4 linked regions of the Caenorhabditis elegans genome follow. The protein of the gene in region 1 purifies or fractionates together with the protein of each later gene. This does not show direct contact. Each region holds a gene or a part of one and is shown in the gene's direction. Other genes may lie near its edges. The genes, in order: F30H5.3, pas-3, clec-59 and Y76B12C.3.

Region 1 (7,748 bases):
GCCCATGGTATGCTCCGTGCGCTGCTCAACGAAGGCGATAGATTCTGTTACTCTTTCCCCAGTTGTCTTTTTTAATTCTCCCGAGGTATACACCTTGTCTCGTTACGGTTATTTTTCTTTTTCTTCTTTCCCCCGTCTCTTTGTTGCTCCGGAGATGTTCTATAACAAAAATTCTAAATAAAGAAACTCTCAATTTAATCCACTGCAATTCCAATTCAACTCCCCCCGCCTTCCTAAAAACAGTCGTTAGCCACCCAAAACAAACAGTCGGAACAAAAAAAGCGGCGCACCGGTGCTGCGCGTGTTTTTCATCAGGTCATGATTTGCTCGCGGAGAGAGGTGAGACCGGCGAAAAAGTTCACTCTTTTTGGAGTTCCGCGCCGCGCGTGATCTTATCATTGTGAGCGCGCGCGAGAGCCCCGATTAGAAGAGAAGCGGTGTTGGTTTGTACAATATTTGAACCAGCGCCGCCGCCACCAACATTAAACATACAGTAAAACATACATATGTTTGGTGCGAAGATCAGTTTCTCTTGACGTACACTTTATAATGAGATAGGATGGATGCCCGCGCGGATCAGAGGAAACTGGGCCAAGTATGCTACACAAAAATACACTAAACCTCGGGTGTTAAGGATGTCAGAAAGTGTTTCTGTGCAGTAGCGGGCTGAAATCACAGGATCATCCTGCTGGATACTCAAGAAGACGGTTACTTTCAAAATTTTTGCGAATTGCAAAAAACCATTTTCGAAGCGGTGATTTTTCACGAAAATCAGTTTCGCAAATCCTAAGGTATTCGTGGAAATTTTTTGTAGAAATTAAAAAAAAAGAAACTTATGATGTCAGCTCATAATTCAAGTTCGGAATCAGCTCATAATTCAAGTTTCACGAAAACCAAAAAGCTCAGTGATCTTTTTCGAGAATCTTACCCCTTAAAATTTTTACCGATTTTTCTGAATTTCAAACGTACTTAGTCTTGCGCTGTTCCACTCCACTTTGACTTTTCATACCTTTGGTAATCTTCACGCTACGTGGCAACAGTATGAAAAACAGAGACTTCTCATGAAGACGAAGAAATTGTGAAATGAATGAAAATTTAAACTAGTGTTCAATATGGCCCATGGTACTAATGAGTAAGGCTACACGTCATATCCAAAAAAATATCGTGAACTGATAAGTTATCAAACTATAGAAGACGATATAACGAATATCTTGGCAGTTGACAATTCTTGAGAAATCCAATGACAACATAGATGTAGGTTGTCAACATTGGAAATATCTAGCATTTTTTATAGAGCTAGTACAAGTTTAGTTGAACACAGATTTTTCATATATTATGCATACATATCGCACATGTTTCTGGGGACTTTTACTAATTTATCTTATCAGATGTGTTTTTTAACCCGCTATTCAAAGAAAATTAGAGAATGCGAGTATGACTACTGAGAGTGTGAAAACCGAAGCTCAATGATATCATACAAAATTCCGAAATGCCGATCATAAGCCCCTATCATGCTCCGTATACAATGTACCAGGCTCAATTACGATGTTGCTCTCTCTCCCCTCCCCACCGCTCTCAACATGTAAATCGCATTACACGAGTGACCCGAACTGTATTCTCGAACGAGAATCTTGCGAAACCGCGGGTAAACAACACCAAGAGAAACCCCTCCTCTCTTGGCTCTGCGAGCACACAAATATAGTGACCCCTCCCTCGCTCCCTCCCCTGACCTTGACCAGCAGACTCAGCTCAACACAAAAGCCATTCGATTGCAACTCGTCTTGGATTCGAACCACCCCGCACCATCATCATCAGAAGGCAATCAAAGAATTATCTGATTATTTTCGTATGATTTTCAATCAATAACAAAAGAGCCATTTCATATATCCAGGTCTCTATCACATTTCCAAATTGCCCTTCTTTATTGTATTCAATTACTCATTTTGAACACTCATTATATAATAATCACAAACATCAATCAATTGATATTCCGCAGCAATGCGTAACTGGTTTATTTTACTCCTGCTTGCAGGTAAGCTTTTTCTTTTTTGCCGGATTTTTTTATGGTTGCTTTGAAAACTTTTGAATCAAATTCTTTAACATAAGCAATACTTTAATTCAAATTTTTAGAGTTTGAATTCTGCTACTTGACACTTGGACTTTTTCTTGCTAGCAATATGAACTTGAAAGTTTTCTTCAAATTTTGATTCAATTTACGAGGGTTAGCACAATACTTAAACTCAGAAATATCAGCATAAAGTTCTTGAAACTATTTTAACATATATATTTTTATAAAAATATAATTTTTGCAAACTTAGTTGTCGGAGAAGAACTTATAAAACTAAGAATGTGTTCCTACAAGTCTAGCCTAAAGAGCTCTAACCCTAAAAATGAGTAGTTTCACCACTGTAGGTTTTTGACCCTTATTTATTATACAAAAAGTATGCTGTGAGTCGGTAGTTTTTATGGAATTTTTTTGAAAATTTGACTTTTACCTCAAAACCCCACTCAAAAACAGCAAGCCATCTCTTTTTTACTCTTGAAAACTTAAAACGTCAAAATTTCTATCACTACCTAAAAATCAAAGCACGATTCTATTCTCAGAATTGTTCAAAATAAATCTAGTCTTTAAATATTCGTTCTAGCCCAAGATTTTGCATTAAACTGGCCTATGCCTTTACGAAATCAGCACTAACATGAATTTTAAAGCTTCCTGGGGGTCTTAGGTGCTTCACAACTGCCAGACCCAGACCATCAAAACACCCATCAGGTCACAAGTCCAATTAAATTCTATTTTTAGAGCACCAGACTAGAGAGTTCAACTTGCATAATACCTTTTTCGTGTTTCTAGTGCTCTCTCTCTCTATCGCCGCGCCGCGTTCCAAAACAAATCCAAGCACATACAATAAAATTGGCAAACATTGTGTGGGGGGTTCTCAGTGTCTGAGATTCGATTCGCCGCAAATATGGCGGCGGCGGCGTGACTGTTGCCCGATTTGGGTTAAAGCGGCCGCGAGCGCAGACGATCGTGCCTTGAGGATTGGGAGCAGGTGGTGACGAATAGTAAAACTTTTTGTTTCAGGAGGCACATATGCAGTCGAGCAGAAGCCGATTTGCAGGATAGGCGATGGTTGTGACACGTCCGGATGTCGGATACCGACTGAAGGTGATAAGTGTGATGAGGAGATGACTATTGATTCCATCTATTGCGATCTTGCCACAAAGTAAGACCACTTTTGAATAAGGAAGCTGTTACTAAACACGACTTTTTCTAATTTCAGCAAGACCGACACTCACGAGAACGCGTTCCTTATCTGCAATCTTGTCAAGAAGGAAATCGAACGAAAGATTTGTCCGAAAGTATAAAATCTATTCCAGTTGTTGAATAATCTTAACAAATTCTCAATTTTTAGAGCCAATTCTTCATTGACGGAAAGTGCCGAACTGGCAATGTTCGGTACAAGCGGCAAGGAGTTGCCGGATCCGGAAGAGTTGGAGATTTTTGCAGCTTCAACACCGATTGCTTGACTGTAAGTGGATTTTGAACTTCTTCGAGATTCTAAAATTCAAATTTCCAGGGAATGTTCTGCTCCACAGGATCTTGCACATGCCTCTCGAACTTCGTCGCCATCCAAGGATACTGCTACCTGAAGAAGAATCCAGGAGAGTCTGGATGTCAGTACGCCGAGCAGTGCTCCGCAGTATGGCCAGAGTCGCGGTGCGAAAAGTCGAGATGCGAGTGCCCGGAGGATGTGAATGGAATTCCATATGTTCAGGCCAAGACCAGGGACGGAGTCGTTTGTGTTCTTCATTCCGGAGAAGACGGAGATCCGGTGCCAAAGTGCCCACTTCCAGAGTGAGTTTTTATTCAGTGGGAGCTATTTTGTGACTTCAAGCTTCAGCCTAAACCTAAGCCTGAACCAAAGCCAAGCCTCATAGTCAGTCTGATACTGAGTCACAACCTAACTAGCTACCTTCTTATCGTTAATTTCCAACTTCTTCTAGATACGACGATGATCTCCTCACAATGCCAGTGTCCCAACTTCGCAACCCTCACATGACCGATCCAGACGATGCTGACATTCAAATGGGCGAGCACATCAACCCACTTCAATTCTGCTCCTCTCAATCCACCGACTATACCACCTTCATCGCCAACGGAGGAGGTGCGTGTGCTTACGCGACCGATGCTAACAACGCTCAGGAAGGAGATGGTATCTATATCGCTGATATCTATGATTGTGTCACCTCCACGACATCAATGGCCAACGTTAAGACTGCAATGGAAGGAGTTTATGACATTCATCCAGCCTCCGATGGTATCTGCTGTCCTAACAGAGCCTTCACCTGCATCCAACCAAAGAGAGAAGCTGATAGTGGAAGTTCGGCGCCAGCAGGAGTCCGTCCAAGATGGTGGTACAACGCTGTCACTGGCACCTGCGAACAATTCATGTGGGACCCATGGGATGAGACCGAGATGCAATCACCAAACAACTTCAAGACTCGTGAGCACTGTGAATCCTATTGTAGAGACACTTGTAAGCGTGGATCCCCACAATACCTCACCGGATCCGCTCAGAATGAGGATGAAGTCGTCAGCAACTGCCAGACGGCCTCTTCCTGCACATCTAACTTCGAGTGCACTTCCATTGGATCCATGCAGCTCTGCTGCCCAACTGTCGCCAGCGTCTGCTCCAACACCGGAGGCCGTCCAGTCGACTTGGTCCGATCCACCAACTTTGACGCCGGTATGTTGATGAAGCGCAGCTTCTCCATGACCTTCTCCACGAGCTCGCGATACTATTACGACGCGGAGCAGGGAAGATGCATCGCGTTCACCTACAACGGAGCACTCGGAAACTACAACAATTTCAAGTCGTCAGCTGATTGCGAGTTGTTCTGCGCCAAATTGCAATGCAAATACGGAACTCCACTCAAGATTGGGTCATCTAATCAGGTATGTGCAGTGTAAATAACACCGGGGGTACCGGAGGTTTCGCGAGTTCGAATTCGTATTTCGAGAAAAATGAAATTTTCAGAGATGCTCCGCCAGTGCCGACTGTCCAAGTACCCACGAGTGCCAGTCAGATCACAATGTCTGCTGTCCAAGACCTCGTAAGTTTTAGAGTTTTAAATTTTTTACTCAGTTTACTCAGTCCTAGGCTAAGATTGCAATACGACCTAGACCTATCATCAGTTCCTCAGCCCACTAAAAACCTCAAAACATTAATTCCAGAAGCCATCTGCTCCCAACCCCTCCGCCTCGGAGACTGCAAGCAATCCGTCCGCCGTTACTGGTACAACGCAGTTACCCGTGCCTGTGAGATCTTCGACTACACCGGCTGCCAAGGAAACGATAACAACTTCGAGACCCTGTTGGAGTGCCAGAACACTTGCGAGAACATTATTCCAGAGCCACAGTGCCCACAAGGAGACGCCTACAAGGATTACCAAGGAAACTACTACGTCTGCTCCAACTCTGGAGCTGGAAACTCTTGCCCAGTCAACTATGAATGCTATTTCGACGGATACGTGTGGGGATGCTGCCCGACCAAGGCCTACACCTGTACCCTTTCCCCACATAAGGGAGTCACCTGCGGATCTGGATCTTCTTACAGATACTATTACAACTCTCAGACCCAAGAATGTGAATCCTACCAGTACAATGGATGTGACGGAAACTCCAACAACTTTGCTACGCGCGAGGATTGTGAAGGATACTGTGGAGTCGGAGGATGTCCAAATGGTGGAACTCCAGAACGCAACGAGTTCGGTCAGCTTATGGTCTGCTCGACCACCCAGGTGTGCCCAGGAACCCACGAGTGTACGTCTGTAAACTCTGGAAGCTCAGTTGTCAACCGTTGTTGCCCAACTCGTGCCTACATCTGCTCTCTTCCACCACAACAAGGATCCTCCTGCAGCTCATCCGCCGCTGCTCGATTCTACTTCAATATTGTCACCAAGGAGTGCACCCAGTTCACCTACAACGGATGCTCCGGAAATCTCAACAATTTCGCCACCCTCGAGCAATGTAACAACTTCTGCCTTTCAGCTGCCTGTACCCCTGGAGATGTAGCCTACGTGAACCCCAACACAAATATGCCATATGAGTGCAATGCAGCTCTATCCAACAGTTGCCCAACCAACTTCGCTTGTACCTACGATCAGCTGTCCTCCAACTCTGTTTGCTGTGGAGCCACCAACATGGATGTCTGCCCAGAAGGCGAGAAGGCTTACGTCAACGCTGCCGATATGGGAGTCCGCGAGTGTCTGATCAATGTGGAGGGATCCTGCCCGAGCAACTATCTCTGCAGATTCAACGCCATGAAGAACAGATACTACTGCTGTGCCTCGATCACAGGAGATCTCTGCCCATCTGGAAAGGCTCTTTACAAGGAACCAAGCTCCAAGGCCCCGATTCGTTGTACCATCAGCAGCAACAACAACCAATGCCCAACCGGGTACACCTGTCAGTCCGATGTTCCAGGCGCTTTCCAAGGATACTGCTGCTCTGGAAACCATCTCTGTCCAAACAAGGCCGAGTTCTACTTGGAAGAATCCTCCCAGATGCCAAGATCCTGCACAGTTGGAGCATTCATCACTTGTCCAAATGGTTACTCCTGTCAATCCACCCAAAACGAGTTCACCACCGGATTCTGTTGTAAGGGAGAGGTCGCTTCTGTCTCTGATGGTTGCCCACCTAATGAGTATGTGTTCATGAAGGACAACCAGATTGCCCCATGTGATCCATTTAACCCACCGAATGCTCCATGTCCAAATGGATACTCCTGCCAATGGTCGTTGGCTAACCAGAGATACCAATGCTGTGGAGCCACACCAATCACCACACCAAAGTCGATCGCTGCTCTCGGATGCCCGAACAACCAGGTCGCATTCCGCGAGAAGGCATCAAATGCTCCAAGAATCTGCACAGCCGCCTCTCAGAACTGCCCAACAGGGTTCTTCTGCCAATTCTCCACCGCTAACAATCAATTCCAATGCTGTGGAATGTCGGGAGGATGTCCAAATGATTCAGTTGCCTTCATCGGAATCACCGGAGAACCACAATCTTGCGCAATTGGTCAGAGCACTTGCCCATCCGGATATTCTTGCCAGAGAGCCATCTCAGGAGCACAACTCTGTTGTACCACAAACGACGAGCCAGTCGGACCAACAACTCCTACCAAGGGCTGCACCGAAAAACAAGTTGAGGTTGAGGGAGCCTGTCTCGATAAGAAATCTCTCGGAGACATCTGCAGTAACCAAGTTCAGTGCCCAACTGGAAGTCTCTGCAAGGAATCTGTGTGCTCTTGTCCAGAAGGACATCACGAACTCAACGGAGTTTGTCTCCCAGACTGTGGACCAAACGAAGTCGAGGTCGCCGGAAAGTGTGTTGCTAAATCCCTTATCGGAGAGGCTTGCGAAGCTGATGAACAGTGCCAAGGTGGATCTTCATGCCTTGACGCTACCTGCACCTGCCCAGAAGGCGAAGAGGCTGTCGAGGATGTTTGCATGAAGAAGATGTCGCGACCAATGTCGACTTGCCCAATTCCAGGACAGATTCCATTCCTCGAGTTGAGAACTAAAGCCGCCAGATTCTGTACTCCATCCCGTCCAAATTGTCCACGTGGATTCAGCTGTCAATTCTCTCAAACCGCTCAACAGAACATCTGCTGTGGAGGTGGGAAGGCGTCAGCAATCGTCGCCGAGAAGAAATCCGGAAAGCCAAGCACTTTCAGTTCTAAGCC
Region 2 (3,445 bases), on another chromosome or scaffold:
TTTTGAAAAACCCACTTCACAGAAAGTGTATAATCTCCAGGTGTACTAGCATTTCTCACAATAAATGATCCATCAGGTTGATCAGAAAGTGCTTTCGAAACTGCAGATCTATCAGCATCAGCCCAGTACCATCCTTGTTCCATAAGACTATGAGTGACTCCATGAGGAGTTCCAGGTGTTGTGCTCATTCTGAATCCTTATATATATATATATATATATAATTAACGGAGGAGAAGAATCTGTGGTGTTTTTGCCGAAGTAGACTAAATCTGGCACAAGACCAAGCCGAGACCAAAAAGCAAAGCATTGAAATTTGTGAAAACACCAAAAAAAACCAACAAAAAAAGTATGTATAACATGGTCTGTAGACCAATGGAAATATCAACGAGAAAAAAAATTCGAAGAATGCAAATAATTAAATAATTTTATTTGAAATATTTACACCCATAAATACTAGCAATTCGTCCCGACTATTAAGTGCTCGCTTTTTTGAAAATTTTCATCATAAGAACCATTGATACGAAGCTCATAAAAATCAGAACAATGAGCATGACCTTGAAACAGTCATAACCACATTTGTAGGCGTGACGCTCAACTCGCTCACTTTGAATCTGGAAATTTTAAGACTATTATTTGAAGTTTATATAGTGAAGAAATTACCCCGAGAGCTGTTTTATTATCATCGACTTCTTTCGCCATTAATATTGCTCTTTCTGTATCTTCTTTAATCACATCTCCAGCAGCCGACATCATCGTTTTGAATGATCTCGCCATAGTGGCCAAACTATTTGCTAGCTCCTCCTCGACAAGCTCATTTTTCATGAATTCCTGATCTTCTATAAAATTTGACGAATTTTGAACAATCATTGGATACTAATTTTTACCAGATGTGTCTTGTGCTCTATGTTTATTAGATGAAAGCAACTGCTTCCGAAGATCTGATCGATAGATGGATCGTTGAGTAGCTCGGAGTCCAGCTGCGGATTCTTTTTCAAAATCGTAACTTTCCGCCTCGTTATCTGCAATATAAACATTAAAATGAAATATTGAATAATTCAAAAACCATTCTTGGAGTCTGCAACAGTTACTTGGACATCGGGAAATACACGTGGAATTTTTTCAATCACTTTCAGGCGCTCCTCGGCTGACGACTGGAAAACTTACTGACAATTTCATAACAGTTGCGAAATTCACAAAATATTTAAAGCTGTTCAACTTGTTTTCTTTACTTAAATCTAAATTGAAAAGAGGGACATAAAATCTACGGAACATTTGCATAATATTTTAGGATTAAATTTTTAATTGAAACAAATCAAACAAATTCAAATTAAGTTTAGAAATTATGTAAAAATTTGTATCTTTAAAGCAAAATTACAAGATCGAATTTGCTTGTCTAAAATATCTACAAACCTTGCTTTCAGCTTCAGCGAGTAATTTCAGTTGCAAGACTTCCTGTCGGTACTCGTGGAGAATATCATTTGTGGTTCTGGAAAAGTAAAACTATAAATATTAAAAAATGTATTTTGAAAAACTCACTCATCGTTTTGAAGTGTATAAATCATTTTATTGAGAATCTTTGTAGCTGCAGAAACCTGAAATAAGAAAAATAATTAATTAAACAGAACTTAAAATGTGATACTTGCTTTCCAAACGTTTGCTGACATATCCTCTTTTGTCAAGCGCTTTGTTCGCTCGAGAAGTCGTAGAAATTTCAGCTCATTTTCAGAAATATACGCCATTTCATTGATGTTTTGACAAAATTAGATAAAAAAATAAAAATAAACGTTGACAACTTGAAAACAAATAAGTTCGGCCACGGCCGAGAAATACAAAAATGCAAATGCGCTCATGCGCGAAAAAATTTTCAAGTCATCCTTTTTGTCGAGGACTGAGAGATTCTTCTTGTTTTATGTAATTTTTCTATAGGTTTCTGCCGTTTATATTTTAAAATCATATTTGTCTAGATTATCTTTATATTTTCAGAGAATGGCCCGTCGTTACGATAGTAGAACGACCATCTTCTCTCCGGAGGGAAGACTGTATCAAGTCGAATATGCTATGGAGGCTATCAGCCATGCTGGAACTTGCCTCGGCATTCTCTCATCGGAAGGAATCGTCGTTGCTGCTGAGAGAAAGAACGTTCACAAGTTGCTGGATGATTCTGTCATGACTGAAAAGGTCTACCGTCTTTCGGACAACATCTCGTGCACTGTCGCTGGTATCACCGCCGACGCGAACATCCTCATCAACCACTTGAGATGGTGGGCTGCCAGCTATCGTAACAGTTACGGAGAGGAAATGCCAGTTGAGCAGCTCGTCCAGAATCTTTGCAATGAAAAGCAGAGATACACGCAGATTGGTTTGTTGATAACTTCTCTCTTGATTTCTATTAATATGATTTTCAGGAGGAAAGAGACCGTTCGGAGTGTCACTTCTCTATATCGGATGGGATAAGCACTACGGATATCAACTTTACCAATCTGATCCTTCCGGAAACTACACTGGATGGAAGGCAACCTGCATCGGAAGCAACCACCAGGCTGCCGTAACCTTGTTGAAACAGGAGTACAAATCCCCAAATCTTGAAGAAGCAAAGCAGTTGGCTATCAAGGTTCTCTGGAAGACTTTGGATGTGAAGCTCGCTTCCGAGAAAGTTGAGATGGCTGTTTTGACTCGTCGTGATGGAAAGACTGTGCTCGAAGAGCTCACCACCAAGGAAGTCGATGCTCTGATTGCTGAGCACGAGAAGAAAGAAAAGGAAGCTGAGACTGCTGAGAAGAAGTAATCTATTGCCTTTGAAATAATCTTTCAAGACTGTATTGTAAACCATCCTCCCACCCGTTTAATTTATTGTCTGGTTTTATTTCTTATCACCCATATTCCTATCTCAAACGTCGGTGAAAATTAAATATTTGTATTTTTAAATTTTGCTTTCTTTAATTCACCTTGTTGTTGTCCGTGCAAATCTTTGATTATTTGGTCAAGCGAGAGTGCTGGAAAAAAGAAGGAGTGTGCCGCAACATTGCAATGGGCGGAGTCTCGAATTTTCTCGAGCATTTGGGGGAAAACTGGATTATTAAGCCGAAATCTTCAGAAAAAAAATCGCTTTTGCATTTTTAGATGGTTGACGAAAGTAAACTGCAGTGCTATCATAAAGGATGCGGTCTCCTTTTCGATCCCAAGGAGAATGACAACGGTAAGATTAATTGGAAAATAAAAAAAATCAGTTTAATTTTTCAGAAGCTTGTACATATCACCCTGGGGGTCCGTATTTCCATGATGCATACAAGATTTGGACATGTTGTGATAAGAAAAGTACTGATTTCGGTACATGGATGAATTATAAAGGATGTACGCGTGGAAAACACAGCAATGAAAAACCAGTCGATATTGTAAAAGTTGCCGCGGTAAAGGAAATTCGACCAGAGAAAGAAGAAGATGTTAT
Region 3 (3,847 bases), on another chromosome or scaffold:
TAGTTTTAAGTCACAATTGTTGCATCAAGAAAAACTACAGTAACTTCTTTCATGAACTGGGAATTATTATGTATTTACAAACTTCCACCAACCATACTCCACGTTATCAGTATCAAAATCTTCGAGACATTAAAAATGTTACAGCAAGCCGATCTTAACCAATACCAATCACTCGATGACGTCTACGATAATGTTTTCCGTGCTCTTTCGTCAGTCAGCACTTCCGAAGAGTCATATCTAGCAAATGGGCTTGCAAGAGCAGAAGATGTACTTGAAGCCGGCAAACAAGGGTACAACCGTACTCATTATCAGAGAGTTGTGATTGTCTATGCATCAGCTTACAAGTATGTTCTTTAGACAGTTTGTGCAACCATTTATTGCTTGTCTTTAGGGGATCCGGAGCCTTGGACCCAGTGCCAGTTGCTGAAAGACTGAAAACTTCTGGAGTGACTGTTATTACTGTGGCATATGATCAAGACGGAGACGGTGCTCTTCTTGCAGATCTGGCAAAGATTGCATCTCCACCATACAACTTCACGAATACCGAAGACAACGGGCAAGTTATTGGAGAGATTCAGGATGCTTTGCTGCAAGGTTTGTTAAAGGAACTTATATTATATAGCAATACAAACTATTTTCAGTGAACTGTTTCTGCCGAAACTCGTGGATTCAATACCGTGTATCTTACACTGATGTTCACTCCTACCGCTACGGTGTCTGCATTCTTCCAGTCGGTTTCAATGCGGTATGGCGCGCTGCCAAATCTTCATGCATGAACCGAAATGCATATCTTGTCACTGAATTCGATTCGAACAAACACGATTATGTCCTGACTGCAGTGAGCAATTACACAGGATTCAGTGTACCTCTAACTTATCACAACGGACTCAGTATGGTCAAAGGTGTCTGGGTATGGGATCAACCACAAGGAATGCCTCAACCACAGCTTCAAAGTTATGCAGGATGGAATCCAGGATATCCCATTTCGGACTCTACTCTCACAGGAGTTCTGAATCAACAATCAAGTGTGCAACTGCAGTCTGGATGGCAGAATATCAAGCCACTGACGACTGGAGCCAATTATGTTTGTGAAACGGCATCTTGCGATACTGATAATTACTGCACCGAAGCTGGACTTGCTGAAATTTCCGTAAAACACTAATATACACGATACATACTTGTTGTTGTATAATAATAAATTCTGATTCTACAGACCGTATTTATTTTATTAGTACTGCTTCTCCCTCTTTGTAATAAAAATTTGGAATCCAGGTGTTTCAAACCAACGAATAAGCGGACTTTTGGTGACTGGATGGCAGAATATTAAACCATTCAATGCAGATGTTTGTGAGACTGCGTCTTGTGATACTGATAATTCAACTCTTAGTTTGTGAAGTTAAATTTCTAACAATCTAGCAAAAACTGAAATAAATTTATTCGGCTTTTCTCAATAAATAATTAACTTTCTTTTTTCTCTTTTCGTTTGCTACAACTTAAAAAATTTTTAGCAACACTGTTCACCAATAATTTTGAAGGAAAAATTACGTTAACCAATTGTTTCACAACAAATGAAATCTCCCGTACTTTTTCAATTAGTACGGCATTTCAAAACATTGCAACTACTTTTCAAAAATAGTAGTACGAAAATAAGTTACCAGTGGTGTTATCAGTTAAATAATTCCTCAATACAACAAAGTTTCATCCGTTGGTTTTTTTTGAAAACAAGAGACAGTAATAAGGTGTGTCTGGGATACTTCAATTCAAACATACACTCTGCATCTTGTGTATTATCATTTTAATGAAACTTCCATGTGTATAAAAGAGAGAATGAATTGAGAAAAATAATCATTCATTTGTTTGCAAAAATGAGTAAAAACATTTGTTTGCTCTTCTTCTTGTTTCATGGTAAGTCTTATTTCAATCAATTACCTGCCAAAATTAGTAACTTTTAGCATACCTTTCTTCGTCCTATACGGATCGCATATGTGGACAAGATTTGAGTAATTTATGGTTGGATGTTGTAGCTGTTGTGGATAACTCTGCTGGAATGACCAAGGGAGGATTGACAAGTGTACGGTAATTCTAATCAAATTATTCTATTGAAAAGAGCATATTTCAGGTCGCTGCAAATATTGCTTCCATATTCAGTAAAAATACACAGATTGGCACTAATCCGACAAGTCCAAAGACTACAAGACTAGCACTAGTGACATACAATGTTGATGCCACAACTGTAAGCGTTTCCCTAAACTGTTGTTCCTCATTAGTATTGTTCCAGGCGGCGGATCTAAACAAGTTCCAATCAATTGATGATATCTATAGTGGAATTAACTCTGCTTTGGCAACAATAAGCTCTTCTGAAGAATCATATCTTGCCAGAGGGCTTTCACAAGCCGAGAAGGTTTTTCAAGCGGGAAAGCATGGATTTAACCGTGCTCATTATCAGAAGGTTGTGATTGTATATGCATCTACATACAAGTGAGTTGCATTTTTTGGAATCCCAACTAAAAACCAAAAAATTTCAGAGGAAGTGGAGACTTGAATCCAGTTCCAGTTGCTCAACGCTTGAAAACCTCTGGAGTTACAATTATCACCGTGGCATATGATCAAAATAAAGACGGAGACATTCTTGTTGATCTCGAGAAAATTGCAACTCCTTATCACAATCTCTCGAATGAAAATTTGAATGTTATCGGAGAAATTCAAGGATTTTTACTTCAAGGTATCTCAAACTGAGTTGATTTTATAAAGAAATAACACGTATTGTTCAGCAAATTGCTTCTGTCCAACTTCTTGGATTCAATACCGTGCTTTGCATGATGACGTGGATTCTTACCGTTACGGAATCTGCATTCTTCCAGTTGGATTGACTGCCGTCTGGCGTGCTGCTCAATTATCATGCCGTAATAGATGGAGAAATTCATATCTTCTCAATGAATATGACAACAGGAAACACAATTTTGTTATATCATCTGTCAAAAACTTCTCTGGTTTCCATTTTCCATTAAGCTATCACATCGGACTGAACAAGGTCAATGGAATGTGGCAGTGGGATCAGCCACAAGATTGGACACAACCACAACTTCAGAACTATGAAATCTGGAATTCAGGATATCCAATATCTGATTCCTCGTTGACAACTGTTTTGAATCGACAGACAACTGTTGATTTGGAAATTGGATGGCAAAACGTTCATCAATTCGCAGCTGCCTCCAACTATGTATGTGAAACTGCTGCTTGTGACACTAATAACTACTGTTCCTCTGGAGGTGATTCCATTTCAAACCATTAGTTTTATATGTAATTTATTATTATTAATGTTGATTTTCTTCATACTATGTACAATTGTTGTCAAACAAATAAATTCAATTCTTTGATTGCTTTTAATTTAATGAATAAAATTGTGAGACAAACTTTAACGATCTTTCAGTTATACTGATTAATTTATTGATTAGGAATTAGAAAGGACAACAATAAAAAACACGGGAAATTTTGCTTTAAGCGGAAAATTACAAAATATTGAACAAGATAAAAGGTAAGAAAAAATAAATAAATGACCGGCAAATGAAAAGTACAGAAAACAAATTGGCACTTGGAGAGTTGTAAGAGTTAATGAGAAATTATTGAAACTTAGAAGTATGAGTAGACTTCTTCTTGATTTCCTTGGCGAGCTTTGGGTTGTAGAATGGATTGGCAACGAGTTTCATAGTTGTCTTGGAAGCAACATATTCTGGATCAAAGAATGGGTTTGGAATGAGATGGGCTGGAGCAGGAGATGTTGAAGCTGATTGTCCAGTTGAAGTGTCTCCACTGCAGAATCCGGAGTCCATTCCAGTGTCACTGAAGC
Region 4 (4,290 bases), on another chromosome or scaffold:
TTTCATTTGATTTTTCCATATAAAAATCAATAAATCAGACCTCTTCGAGTTCATCCTTCGTCTTAGTCTTCTCTCTTTCCTTCTCTTTTTCCTTCTCCTCAGTGACTTCCTTCGGTGGTTTTTCCTCCTTTTCCTCTTCCTTTTCTGCCTCTTTTTCCTCCTTATCCGCCTCGTTTTTCTCATGGGTTTTCTCTTTTTCCTTCTCTTTTTCCTTCTCCTTTTCCGCCGCCTCTTTCTCCGATTCCTTTTCCTCAAATTCGTCGATCAACTTGGGCCCTTCACGTGGCTTAGAGGGCACTTTTTTCGCCCGTTTTTTCTTTTCCGGAGCCCAGTCATCAATCTCACTCAGTCCGTCTGTCATATCATATCCAGGCTTTAGAATTACTTTACCCGATTTCGTGCACTGTGGTTGCTCGGCGCGGTGTGCTTCCATTTTTGAATCTGGAAATTTATGGCTCAGAATTGTTGTGGAGGCCCGTAGAATTGCTATGGGAGCACATTTTGCTGATTTTTAGGCTTAGGCTTATGCGTGGCCTTAGGCTTAGACATAGATTCATGCTTAGGCTTAGCCTCGAGCTTTTGCTTATGGTTAGGCAGGCTTAACTTTAGGCTTAGGCTTAGGTACAGGCTTAGGCTTAGATTCTGGCTTAGGCTTCGACTTTGGCTTAGGATTAGGCTTTAGACTTTAGGCTTAGGCTTTATGCTTAGGCTTAGGTTCAGGCCTAAGGTTAGGCTGAGGGGGGGGGGGCTTAGACCTAGACTTATCGGTGTCTGGGGAGAAAAAAAATTAAATCAAGAAATTTCAAGATATCAAAACTTTCTCTCAGCTATAAAAAACTTTAAAATTCTGCGAAAAAGGCTTTTGATGAGAATTTTCGGCAAATTCCCGGAAACATACGCTGGCCGAGTTTTCGCTTTTCCTAGGCCACCTAGAAAAGAAGCAAAAAAGTTACCTTTATGTGAATCGGTTTTGACTTTTCCAAGAAATCAGATTTTATCCTCGCCGTCTTTCCGCTAGCCGAGAAGAAAATAACAATAAATTTATTTTCTCACAGGTTGTCGGTTTTTTTTTTTTGAAAAATTTGAATTCTAAGTTCAATTCGAAGTTCAAAATGGCAATTTCACGGAATAATTATTCAATTTTTGTTGAAAATTAATTTTCTAGATTTAAATTAAAACATGCATTCAATTTGTCCTCTCTGAAGTTGTTCGGTTTTTGCGCCAGAAATACGGTACCAGGTCTCGACACGACAAATTTTTGTTAAATGGAAAACATGTGTGTGCGCCTTTAAAGAGTACTGTAATTTGTTGTCAAATACATTTTTATCGAAAAACTATTAAAAATCGATTAAAACCCCGAATATTTAAAATGACAGTACTCTTTAAAGGCGCACACCTTTTAGAATGAAAAAAAATCCTGTCGAGTCGAGACCCAGTACCGTATTTTCATCGCAGAAATCGAAAAATCGATAGTTTCCGACATTTTCGTGCTTTTTACCCAATTTTCCCCCCGAAAAATATGGATTTTTAGCTATATAAACTTGTACTTTTCCCCTATTTTCCCTCCCGTGAATGGGTTCCCTCCAAACTTTGCCCAAAACTGTCGTCAAATATGGTGTGGCGGTACCCGGCGGTGTTTGCACTGCTGACGTCGATTTGAGCCAATTTTGGAGCATTTTCCACGTATTTTAATGGGGATTTTCACTCATTTTTCATGGATTTTTTGCTATTCCAAAACAAAACAAAAAAAAATAAAAATTTCCAGCAAAATGTGGGTGATTTTCCTGCTGCTGGCCGCCGTGGTTTCGCCTATGTTCGGTGAAGTTGAAGAGTATAAAATTGATGTAGAGGAGTGCAAGGCGGCGGGATTCAATCCGGAGACTTTAAAGGTTTTTCTCCTGAAAATCTTGGCAAAAATCTGAAATTTTCGTAAATTTTCAGTGCGGATTATGCGAACGACTATCGGATTATCATCTGGAAACGCTGCTCACCGATTGTCTTCAGTGTTGTATTAAGGAAGAAGAGTTTAAGCACGAAGTACGCTTTAAAATTGGGATTTTTTTGTGAAAAAATCGATTTTTCCCGCTAGAAATCACCCAAAAATCGATTTTTTTTAAATTTCAGAAATATCCAACGGCAATTCTGGAAGTCTGCGAGTGCAATTTGGCTCGATTCCCACAAGTTCAAGGTGAAAATTGATTGGAAAAAGAGAATATGGCCCGAAAAATACCTCAAAAGCGAAAAAAACTAGCTTTTCACACTAACTGTCGATGATTTACGCGGCTCGTGTACTCCCCGAGGAGAAGATTTTGTAGTTTTTGGCAGAAATTCTTGATTTTGAGCCATTTTTGTTAAAATGTTTCGTTTTCAACGTTAAAAATGCTAATTTATCCTTATTTTTAGTATTTGAACATTAAAAAATGCCCGAAATAAGGGATATTTTGCCAAAAAAACCATAAAATCCTACTACTCGCGGAGTACACACGCTGCGTAAATCTACACGGGGCTGTGCTAGAGCTCATTTTTCTGAAAATCGAAAAATTCTGTTTCCCTATTTTTCGAGAGGATAAAAATCATTTTTCCAAGAATTTTCTGAAATTTCTCTATTTTTAGAAAATAAAACTATTTCATTCGAAAAGAAAGTTTCTGCCGATTTTTTGAAAAAAGTTTTTAAAAAAGCGAAAATATTATTATTTTTCCCTGAAAAATGTTTAAAAAAACTAGCTTTTCACACACACACGATGGTTTACGCGGCTCGTGTACTCCCCGAGGAGAAGATTTTGTAGTTTTTGGCGGAAATTCTATTTCAGATTTGGAACCATTTTTGTTGAAATTTTTCGTTTTCAATGCTAATTTATCTCTATTTTTAGTGTTTGAAAGCGAAATTCTGGGTAATTTTGGTGAAAAACAAGAAATTCTTATAAATACCCCGATTTACACGTTCAAATACTAATAAAAGTGAAAAATTTGCGATTGAAATTTAAAAAATTAGCGAAAAATGACCAAAAGCGAGTTTTTTTTTGCCGAAAAACCATAAAATCCTGTTTATCGAGAGAAAAAAGGGTAAAAAACTATTTTTAACAGAAAAAGTCTTAATTTTTTACGATTTGCTCGGAAAAATTTCGAAAATCGAAAAAATTTCAAGCTTTTTTTATTTTTATTTTTCATCAAAAACCCCGATATTTTCATAGAGCCATTAGGCCATTTGGGCTCGGCCGGGGTCGATTTACGGCGCGTTGCGTGTCGCGTCGCGGCTCAAAAAAATAATTTTCCGTGTGGAGTACACGACTTTCTCTTTTTTTCATTTTTGCAATAATAATTTTTATGATTTTATTCGAAAAAAACCGAAAATCGAAAAATAAAAAAACTTTTTTTTAAATTTTTCAGTGAAATTTTCAACACCCAAAAAATCAATAATTCCAGCATTCGTCCATAAGGATATGGCTCGTCAATTCGGTGGAAAAGTGAAAGTTAAGCATGTACGAGGTGTCCGACCACAAGTTGCACTGAAAGATGCCGATTTTAAGACAAAAGAGGTGCTCAGCGTTGAGAAATGGGATACCGATACGCTCATCGACTTTTTCAATCAATGGCTCGAATAATTTTTTGTTATTAAATTCGATTTTCACCCCATATTTTCCTGACTCTCTCTCTCCATGTTTTCACTGGTATTTTTTAAATTATTTTCCAATTTTTTTTGCTGTAGTGGGCTGGTTAATAAAAGCAACAAGGTTCCGATATTTTCATTTTTCACATTAATTTCAGATTTTCATCACGACTCTTCTAGAATATTCCAAGCTTCTCCCTTTCATTTCATAATTACATTATCCTCCCCCACAGGGAGAAGGAACAAGTAAAATGAGAAGAAAACTAAAAATAATCGAATTATTACTGACTATGAGCTACAAATAGAGCTATAGTGGACCACTTGGCTCCAGTTTTGCCGGAAATTGATTACCTGAGCTCAGGCGCCTCCTGAGCCATTTTCGGCTTCTAATTGCCAGTTTGCCGGTTTGCAGGAATTTTTCATTTTCAGCAAATTGCCGGTTTCGCCAATTTGCCGGAATTTTTCATTTTCAGCAAATTGCCGGTTTGCCAATTTTCCGGAAATTTTAATTTCCGGCAAATTGCCAGTTTTCTGATTTGCAGGAATTTTTCAATTCCGGCTAATTGCCGGTTTGCCAATTTGCTGGAAATTTTCATTTTCAGAAAATTGCCGGTTTGCCAATTTGCCGGAAATTTTCATTTCCGGCAAATGTCAAGTTTTCTGCTTTGCTGGAATTTTTTATT

The links.
Region 2: the proteins of F30H5.3 (region 1) and pas-3 fractionate together in Caenorhabditis elegans (co-fractionation; one large-scale study listed by BioGRID). This does not show direct contact.
Region 3: the proteins of F30H5.3 (region 1) and clec-59 fractionate together in Caenorhabditis elegans (co-fractionation; one large-scale study listed by BioGRID). This does not show direct contact.
Region 4: the proteins of F30H5.3 (region 1) and Y76B12C.3 fractionate together in Caenorhabditis elegans (co-fractionation; one large-scale study listed by BioGRID). This does not show direct contact.

Annotation. Positions count from the first base shown.
Region 1 is NC_003281.10:506,168-513,915, reverse strand, and holds the start of F30H5.3 (BPTI/Kunitz inhibitor domain-containing protein), read left to right. Parts: upstream 1-1,698; 5' UTR 1,699-1,998; coding exon 1,999-2,032; intron 2,033-2,948; exon of another isoform or gene 2,949-3,040; intron 3,041-3,082; coding exon 3,083-3,224; intron 3,225-3,281; coding exon 3,282-3,360; intron 3,361-3,413; coding exon 3,414-3,530; intron 3,531-3,578; coding exon 3,579-3,856; intron 3,857-4,005; coding exon 4,006-4,957; intron 4,958-5,039; coding exon 5,040-5,115; intron 5,116-5,236; coding exon 5,237-7,748. Other genes in the region: T22F7.3 (BPTI/Kunitz inhibitor domain-containing protein), read left to right, coding at 1-41.
Region 2 is NC_003279.8:5,104,587-5,108,031, reverse strand, and holds pas-3 (Proteasome subunit alpha type-4), read left to right. Parts: upstream 1-1,983; 5' UTR 1,984-1,986; coding exon 1,987-2,359; intron 2,360-2,405; coding exon 2,406-2,785; 3' UTR 2,786-2,922; downstream 2,923-3,445. Other genes in the region: aap-1 (SH2 domain-containing protein), read right to left, coding at 16-188; use-1 (Vesicle transport protein USE1), read right to left, coding at 474-611, 661-836, 885-1,019, 1,064-1,151, 1,411-1,486, 1,537-1,592, 1,644-1,739; chp-1 (Cysteine and histidine-rich domain-containing protein 1), read left to right, coding at 3,121-3,196, 3,241-3,445.
Region 3 is NC_003280.10:10,477,467-10,481,313, reverse strand, and holds clec-59 (VWFA domain-containing protein), read left to right. Parts: upstream 1-1,865; coding exon 1,866-1,905; intron 1,906-1,952; coding exon 1,953-2,071; intron 2,072-2,119; coding exon 2,120-2,233; intron 2,234-2,278; coding exon 2,279-2,478; intron 2,479-2,525; coding exon 2,526-2,722; intron 2,723-2,771; coding exon 2,772-3,292; 3' UTR 3,293-3,310; downstream 3,311-3,847. Other genes in the region: clec-60 (VWFA domain-containing protein), read left to right, coding at 145-344, 392-594, 642-1,162; ZK666.4 (Pepsin-I3 domain-containing protein), read right to left, coding at 3,621-3,847.
Region 4 is NC_003282.8:1,971,939-1,976,228, forward strand, and holds Y76B12C.3 (Selenoprotein F), read left to right. Parts: upstream 1-1,766; 5' UTR 1,767-1,769; coding exon 1,770-1,889; intron 1,890-1,941; coding exon 1,942-2,037; intron 2,038-2,124; coding exon 2,125-2,188; intron 2,189-3,423; coding exon 3,424-3,602; 3' UTR 3,603-3,744; downstream 3,745-4,290. Other genes in the region: Y76B12C.4 (Translation initiation factor IF-2), read right to left, coding at 41-433.